Cricetulus griseus: one gene and its partner. The protein of the gene in region 2 purifies or fractionates together with the protein of the main gene of each other region. This does not show direct contact. Links are inferred from orthologs where the notes say so. Each region holds a gene or a part of one and is shown on either strand. Other genes may lie near its edges.

What was found. The genes of interacting proteins can lie anywhere in the genome.
Region 1: the proteins of Cdk15 (region 2) and Fkbp5 purify together in Homo sapiens (affinity purification with mass spectrometry; 3 studies listed by BioGRID and IntAct, counting the BioPlex papers as one, with this or other methods). This does not show direct contact. The link is inferred for Cricetulus griseus from reciprocal best matches to the Homo sapiens genes CDK15 and FKBP5.

Annotation. Positions count from the first base shown.
Region 1 is NW_023276806.1:233,539,653-233,543,303, forward strand, and holds part of Fkbp5 (peptidyl-prolyl cis-trans isomerase FKBP5), read right to left. Parts: intron 1,527-3,651; coding exon 1,370-1,526; intron 1-1,369. UniProt on the Homo sapiens protein: Immunophilin protein with PPIase and co-chaperone activities. Component of unligated steroid receptors heterocomplexes through interaction with heat-shock protein 90 (HSP90).
Region 2 is NC_048595.1:413,523,847-413,528,135, reverse strand, and holds the start of Cdk15 (cyclin-dependent kinase 15), read right to left. Parts: upstream 2,830-4,289; 5' UTR 2,728-2,829; coding exon 2,605-2,727; intron 1,918-2,604; coding exon 1,768-1,917; intron 1,569-1,767; coding exon 1,471-1,568; intron 1-1,470. UniProt on the Homo sapiens protein: Serine/threonine-protein kinase that acts like an antiapoptotic protein that counters TRAIL/TNFSF10-induced apoptosis by inducing phosphorylation of BIRC5 at 'Thr-34'.

The sequences.
Region 1 (3,651 bases), on a different chromosome or scaffold from region 2:
CAGGTGCCACCACTGATAGATAGACTGCAGAGGACAGGGCTCAACCATGAATGACTGACGGCTCACCCTTCGAGAACTAGCTACACTAATGAACAGAAAGCAGTTTGATTTGCTTTGCTATCTTACCAGCTGGGTTAAGACTTACAGATCTGGGTCATGTGTCCCTGAATGGTTACACTTTACAGAACTTATCCTTAAGGGCTCAACTGTGAAAGCATATCTGAGACAGCCGCCACCTGAGTGTGGAGCTCCTGTAATTTTGGAATGTTAGATTAGAAGTGATTAGTAAACTTTAATCCCAGCACATGGGAGCCAGAGGCAGGCAGAGTTTGAGGTCAGCCTGGTCTACACAGTTGAGTTTTGGGGCAACCAGAGCTACAAAGTGAGAAGATATCTCAAAAAAAAAAAAAAAAAAAAAGATTGGAGACTGTAGGCTATGAAGTACCTGCTCTGCAAGTCTGCAAAGAGAAAAAAAGTTTTCAGTCAAAAAGTAGGGTAGAGTGAACTACAGCCCATTGCAAACTGAAACCCTGAAGCAGGACTGCAGCACTGAACAGGGTTGAGAGAAAGGCAGCAGACAAAGGGGCCTCGTAATGGCTTTAGGATCAGGACAGAGCATTCTAGAAGAACTTTCAAGGAAGTGTGGGCATGGCTAAAACTACTGAGGAACAGGATTATAGACAAGCACTGGCGTTTTGTCAGGGACCCCTGAGGGGTGAGGGCAGGCCGAAGAGTCTCAGAACTCAGATCTGCCAGTTGCAATCTGTGAGCCCGTGAGGCCACTCTGGCCAAGGAGATGCTCTTGCATGCAGGCATCCCTGGATTCTCTCAGGGCCCATTTCTCAAGATAGAAGAGTTGAATTTATGGTACAATTTTAGACCAAAAATAATACAAAACATGTTTTCACAAGAGACTGTCAGTGCCGGATAGTTCTAAGCTTGGAAGTGCTAATGGCTATCCTTATGACGGGAAAGATTTAGGCAAAAATGAGTCATCTCCGCTGTCTTTAGATCCAGGAAGAACAAGCTGGTTTTTTCTTCCTTCGGGGACTCCATATAAGAATGTGGCATGCATTCAAGGGGTAGTAAATCATGCCCTACTTCAGCTCTCAGCACTCTCCTGCTGAACTCAGAGGACAGAAAAGAGGACCAGCCAATCTTTGCTGATGTGGCACCATGGCATAGGAACAAATCAAAAACAAGGCTTATTTGCCCTATTCTTAAACATACTTGAGCTGAGCCAACCGCTCACAAACTTCCCGACTACCACCTGACTCAATGCAATGACCTCACTGTGATAGCAAAAGCACCGAGTGAGAGAGTAGGTCTTCAGACAGCTACACTGCATACGGAAACGGGCGCTTCTTACCGTGGTCCAAGATATAAAACACACTGCTCTTCCCTCTGCATTTTCTCCAGGGCTTTGTCAATTCCAATGGGAATGTCGTGGTCTTCTCCTTCACCAACAATGAACACCACATCTCTGCAATCAAACATCCTTCCACCACAGCAGCCTTCCAGGTGGACTGAGGGTGAGGAGACAGAACAGTCACAAGCCACCCCTCAGCACTGCCTGTCAAGTGAGCGGCCAACAGTGCAGCTCTGTCCACAAGACACACACAGTGTCTTCTAGAAGCTTTGCCCACCCAGTGTGAAAGTTTAAGAACAAGAATATTTTTCTGTTTTAGGTTAAATGAATACTAGTTTTCTTACCTGTGACACAAGGTCAGGATATACTGGCTTATTTAAACACACAATAAGGAGAATGCCACGCATCTAGTCCTGACAATATACAACGATGGCTTAACCATTTGTAACAGTATCTTGGGTTCAGATGCTTGGGTGAAATAAATAAACCAATAATAATGCCAAGCCTGGAATGTCATTTCTCCAATGATACATTCATGTTAGATTTTCTTTTCTTTCTTTCTTTCTTTCTTTCTTTTTTTTTTTTTTTTTGAGGCAGTCTTTTTATATATCTCAGGCTGGCCTGGAACTCTTATTTTCCTGCCTCTGCATTCCAAGTGCTTTCTTATTATATTATTACAGGCCGGCACCACATCTTGTTCCAATTACTTTGTATGGCGGTGAGGACTGACCCCAGGGACTTGTGCAACAACCAACCACAGAGCTACACCCCAGCCCAACTACCTTTAATGCCCATGTTCCATATGCCTTTCTCGAAGGTCTTTTACTCACTAAGAAAAATGGCTTGTGAGCCAGTGCAACAGTCACCACGATTCCTCTTTGATAATCTGGAAAGTTCTTAGGCTGCTTAACTGATGTGGGGTAAGTAACTACGTAACTTGCTTTACAGAGTCTTGAGAATCCACCCTCTCTTACACATTAACTATGTGTCCTATGACAGCTGTCAAATTCCAAACACAGACCCAATTCCAACTCCCTCCACCACCCTTATCTGATCTCAGCAGTCTCCTAAAAGGCCTGAAGGTCTATGATTCTGTTTCAGCTAGAAGCCACCTTTAATGCTAATTCCTGTGGTTAACCATTTGATCCAGCACCTTTAGCCTAGGCCTGATAAGTCAGAGGGACTCTGACTATCAACAGCAGGGCCTCAGTCAGCAGAGTCAGGACAACCTCCAGGACGAACACCACGCTGGTTGCTCCCTCGGCTGTCAACCCAAATCCTGAGTCAGTTCCTTCAAAGCAAGGGCTGCAGCCTGGATCTCAGGGTGTGCATAGAGCCTCTTGTTTTATTTCCCACACTTGTTAATATCTATGATGACCACTTCTGGAATGTTCTAAATAAAATAATAGCTAACTTGCAGATACCTCCCCCACCCCACCCCCAGTGCACAGGTAGCGTGAAAAAACCAGGTTGAGTGTAGTGTGAGAGGCATCCAGCTGGACAGCTGTGAGCACTGCCAGCAGCCGCTTCCATTTTTTTAAAAAAAGACTTAACTTTATTTTAAAAATTTAAAATACATGTACACCAGAGGTTTGGGAGCACAACTGAGGCCCATGGTTTTGTTTTTTTTTTGTTTTGTTTGTTTTTCTAGAGTAAAGGTGATGTTTCTAAAGGAACTGGGTTTTTAGGAAGTTGGGTATCTATTCTAAGCCTAGCTACTCAAAAGGCTGAGGCCGGAGAAGCATACACTGTGGCCTATCTCACAAGAAACAGTGAAGAGAGGGATAGGGGTAGCTCACAGTGGCAGAGTACTTGCCCAGTAGGTACAAAGCCTGAGGTTCAAGCCCCAGAACCTCCAAAAATAAACAGAATTTAGACCAACTTCTCACTAGAGATCTGCTGAGCACAGGAGTTCTTGCCCATGCACAAGGTAAGCACATCTTTAGACTGACAGATTTGGCGGGGGAGGGAATTCTGAAGTTTATTGTTAGGTGATCACCTTCCTCCTCAAGTGCGGTGTCTTTAGCTCGGAGGAAGCTATCAGTACATTTGTTGTGGCTTTTGGTCGATCAAGTCTGAATGTGTTTTCAAAACAGGAAGTCCAGAGACTTCTGCAAAGGGTCCCCACTTACTATCGGTTCCCTAGACTGATTCGCAATCATGTAATGTGTTTGAAATGACTACACAGTTTCAGAAATTCTCTTTAAGTGTGCAGGAAACAAGCAAAAAAACCAGAAAGTCAAACTGTATCAAAGGCATAGTTAAGAAAATGAATACTGAGG
Region 2 (4,289 bases):
GCTGAGTTCATTGAAGGAAATACTTTATTTTTTTGGTTCTTAGCATAATTTGTGGTCATGAATAAAATTCTGGTTCTACACAATGCATTTCAGATTGTATTTCCCTAATAATATTATTTTAACAAAGATGGCAACAGGTATACAAATTCCAAATAAAAATACTTAGTTTTATAATATTTGTATTTTTAAAACATGACTACCATTAAGTCATTATTTTCTCTATTGGAGTACCATATATTAAAGGATAAACTTTTCCAACTTTTGGTAAGAAAGTAAGGATAACTTACTAGAAGGCAACCAGAAAGATCAGAATTCCATCTTAGAACCAGTACCAGGGTTTTGAATAAGCATTCTCTTTTTCCAGCCATTTTGTATATTTTACAGATTCAGAAAATACAGGATGTAGTTTTTTGCATATCTTATGTTAAGGAATCTTATTTTAAGATGTGCGACTTTTGTTTATGCTGCATTTGTTTAACTCTGTGAAGCTGTGATTCTTTGCCTGTCTCAAACACCTAATGGTCTAATAAAGAGCTGAACAGCCAATATCAAGACAGGAGCAAGGATAGGCAGGACTGGCAGGCAGAGAGAATAAATAGAAGGACAACTGAGGAAGGGAAGGATCAAGAGAATAAAGAACGGAGGACACCAGGGGCCAGCCACCTAGCCACACAGCCAGACATGGAATAAGAGGGAAAGAAAAGGTATACAGGTATAAAGAAAGATAGGGGCTGGAGAGATGGCTCAGAGGTTAAGAGCACTGACTGCTCTTCTAGAGGCCCTGAGTTCAATTCCCAGCAACAACATGGTGGCTCACAACCATCTATAATGAGATCTGGTGCCCTCTTCTGACCTGCAGGCAGAACACTGCATACATAATAAATAAATAAATAAATAAATAAATAAATCTATCTTTAAAAAAAAAAGAAAGATAAAAGCCCTGAGGCCTTTTTTTTTAAAAAAAGAAAGATAAAAGCCCTGAGGCCAAAGATAGATGGGATAATCTAGCTTAAGAAAAGCTGGCAAGAAACAAGCCAAGCTAAGGGCAGACACTCATAACTAAGAATGTATTTATTTGGGTGCTGGGTTGTAGTCCCCTCGAAAAGACAAAAGAGTAAAACATTTCACACTACAATTTCACACTTTGAGATTTAGGAAGGGATAAGAAAAACTCTAGAGACACCTTACTGGTTTCTCTATAGGTCGTAATTGCTCTTTGGGTCAACGGTGAAGGAAGTCTACCTTCTTTAGTGGTTGATTTTAGCTAAAGAAGATCTGTGTTGTTATGGAGTTTTTTTGTTTGTTTGTTTGTTTGTTTTTGTTTTCGAGGCTGTTAAAATCACCATATCTCCTTCCTGTTGGCCCAGATGTCCTGTCACAGTCCCAAAGGCTGTGAATGGCTGTGATACATTGGTTGGATTTATAATGCAATAGGAGACACCCCCATCTAAGGTCTGACAAATCACTCACCTGCTAATCCCCTTGTAAACTGTGGCATAAGAGCCTTCACCCAGCTTCTCCAAGTTCAAATAAGATGAGGCTGCCCCAAAAGGGAGGCTCTTCTTCTGCTTATGGGGTAGGGTGAGAGGTGACAAGACAAAAAGAGCACTTCAAAAATAATGTTGACTTGTCTTTTCCCCAGGAGCATTAGACAGCCTGTGTGTACGGGGGCGGGGGACCCACACAGGCATCCCTGAAGGTGGAGGCCAGCTTCCCTAGACAAGCACCCATGACATTCTTCTTGATGCCTGTCAATGGCTCACTCACCCATGGCAACCCTTGCCTCAGATTCTCTTCCTGAAAAGAGTCACTGTTACTCCGGGGCCTTTTGCTCTCCAGCTTCTGGTCACCAGGGCCCTGGAGTCCCCTGGGGTGAAATGAAGACAAGGAACACGTTGCTCCTTTTATGTCTGTTAGCTAGAGGAAAAAGAAAGTACGTGTACAAACTCAATTTGGTGGCTGGCAAAACCCTTGTTTTGTTTTATTTGCCTGTTTGCTTGTCTTATTTTATTTTATTTTTCTAAGCTCCCTCCACCCTCTGAAGGCACCTCTCCTGGAAATCAGGTGCCTTAGAGATCACCATGATACCTATCGCTGAAATGCCAAGTTTCTCCTTCACCTGCACAATTTCACCCAGTCTCCTTGATGGATGTTTTCCGATTTCTCTGTTTAACTCGGTCTCCCCCATGCCCACCCACGTTCCTACGTACTTAATGGAATGCCAGAATGATCCAGTAAGACACTGCTAATCATCATGAGATAATTACTGAACCCGAGAATCCACAGCGGACCTACCAGTATGGCAGCTTGCCCTCTACAGTTCAGCCCTGCCATTTAGTGGCTCGGAGATGGCCAGAGGAGAACCACTTTCTCTATTTCAAGTCAAAAGAGACCAAAGCCAAAGAGTATTCCCCTCTCCTGGTTTACAAGCACACCCCAAAACTTGATAACTACGGCCATAAATCCTCTGTGACTTTAATAGAATTTTCTTTTTATGAGTTTAGACCTACCGCAGAGGAATCAGACACTGCTACAAAAGGGAGCGTCTGCCTGAATTGCTTGGTTTACCAATAAAGAAAGATGCTCCTCCCGGGATCCAAATACCTCGAACGCAGCAGCCTCGGTGCTCCCAGGCTGGCTTCTCTGACAGCTGTGCGCCTCCCCTCTCTCCGAACGGTGGTAGCAACTGCATCCTGGCTGTCTCTTTGCACACAGCTCCTGACCCATAATAGTCCAGGTTCAAGTGGAAAACCCGCACTTGAACCTCTCCCCATCCGCCTCTCCAGTTCTCTTTCACTCCCTTTTTTGCCAGAGGTCAGCAGAGTGGAGCTTTCGTATGACTCACACGAGGGCTCTGTCTGGAGCAGCCTCATGACTTCAGCAGTTTTTGCTTATCAGTGCAAGGAACTACGCATCAAAACCGCAGCGGCTGGTGTTCATGTGTGCATACCCGAAAACAACGAGGCTCTTATTGGAGAGAATACATCAGGGTACACTGACTGCTATTACTCCAGGCACAAGTCAGTGCTGAGGCGACACCCGCTTTTCGGGAATTTGCACTGATGCATGTTTCTTGGGCTCCCCTGGTAGGGGCCAGCTAAGGAGCGTTCCATCCCTTGCTTTCATCCGAAAGCCTTTTGGTTTTCAAACTTTTTTTACTTTTTTTCATTTGAGGTAATAGCCCATCTATCCTTGAACTCGAAGCAATCCTCCTGCCTCAGCTTCTCCAGCTCTGGGATTGCAGATGTCAGCCACCTCTGCAATCTGACTCAGGTTGGTTTTCCAACATTAGAGCAAATTTGCAATCTAGCCAACTTTTAGAGTCAAAGAAACCACAGAGTGTGGGATGGGAAGGAAGCAAGGATTCCTCCTCCACCTCTGCCTCCAAGTTAAAGTACATCTCATATTCTGACAGGGCAGTCATTCATTCATTTATTCAAGCACAGTGTAATAAACATCTATGTTGGTAATACTCCACAGTGATGAGAGTCAATGGTGCAGAGAGTAGTTTGAGTCAGGTGTGTGGACACTTGAAATCTCAGTACTTTGCAGGCTGAAGTAGGAGGATGGTGAGTGAGGTCAAGACCAGCCTGGGCTATGGAGAAAGATTCTTTTTCAAATAAAGAAGAAACAGAAGAAGGAATGTGTATGTGCCCATAAGGTATCTTCCCATTTCCCCCAATTCCTTCCATTAAATATGTATACATATACATATATATTTAATGTTCAGGGTATGCAAATACTATATTAGTACTTGGCATTTTCAGGAATCTGGATCAGACTGCAAAGCAGTCTGTGATCTTGGGCAGAACTTTTGTTCTGTGAGAGACTCATAACACCATTGCCATTGTTGTATGCCAACCATAGGGTGTAGGTAGGCTACATGCACACATGTACAAAAATTTCAGGCATGCGCACTGTCACTGCTTCCCTGTGGCGAAGAGCTGCCAGTGAGAAGCTGATTGACAGCGAGAAGACCCTGTGCCTGTCCCAGCCTAAACAGAGGACTCAGACTGAAGCTGCAAGACCCTCAGGCCAGCTCAGAATGGCTCATCCGACTGCATTGACCTCCTTCTTCCCCTTCTGTTTCCCTGGGCTTGTGTTTACCGCTCCTCTTTCTCTCCAGTCTTCTTTTCGGGGACGCTGGGTTAAGACAAATGGTAGCCTCTGTTCGTTCGTTCGTTCGTTCGTTCGTTCACTCACTCACTCACTCACTCATTCATTCATTCATTCATTCATTCATTCACTTACTTACTTATCAATATGGTATTTTGAAAAAGTCCCACGTA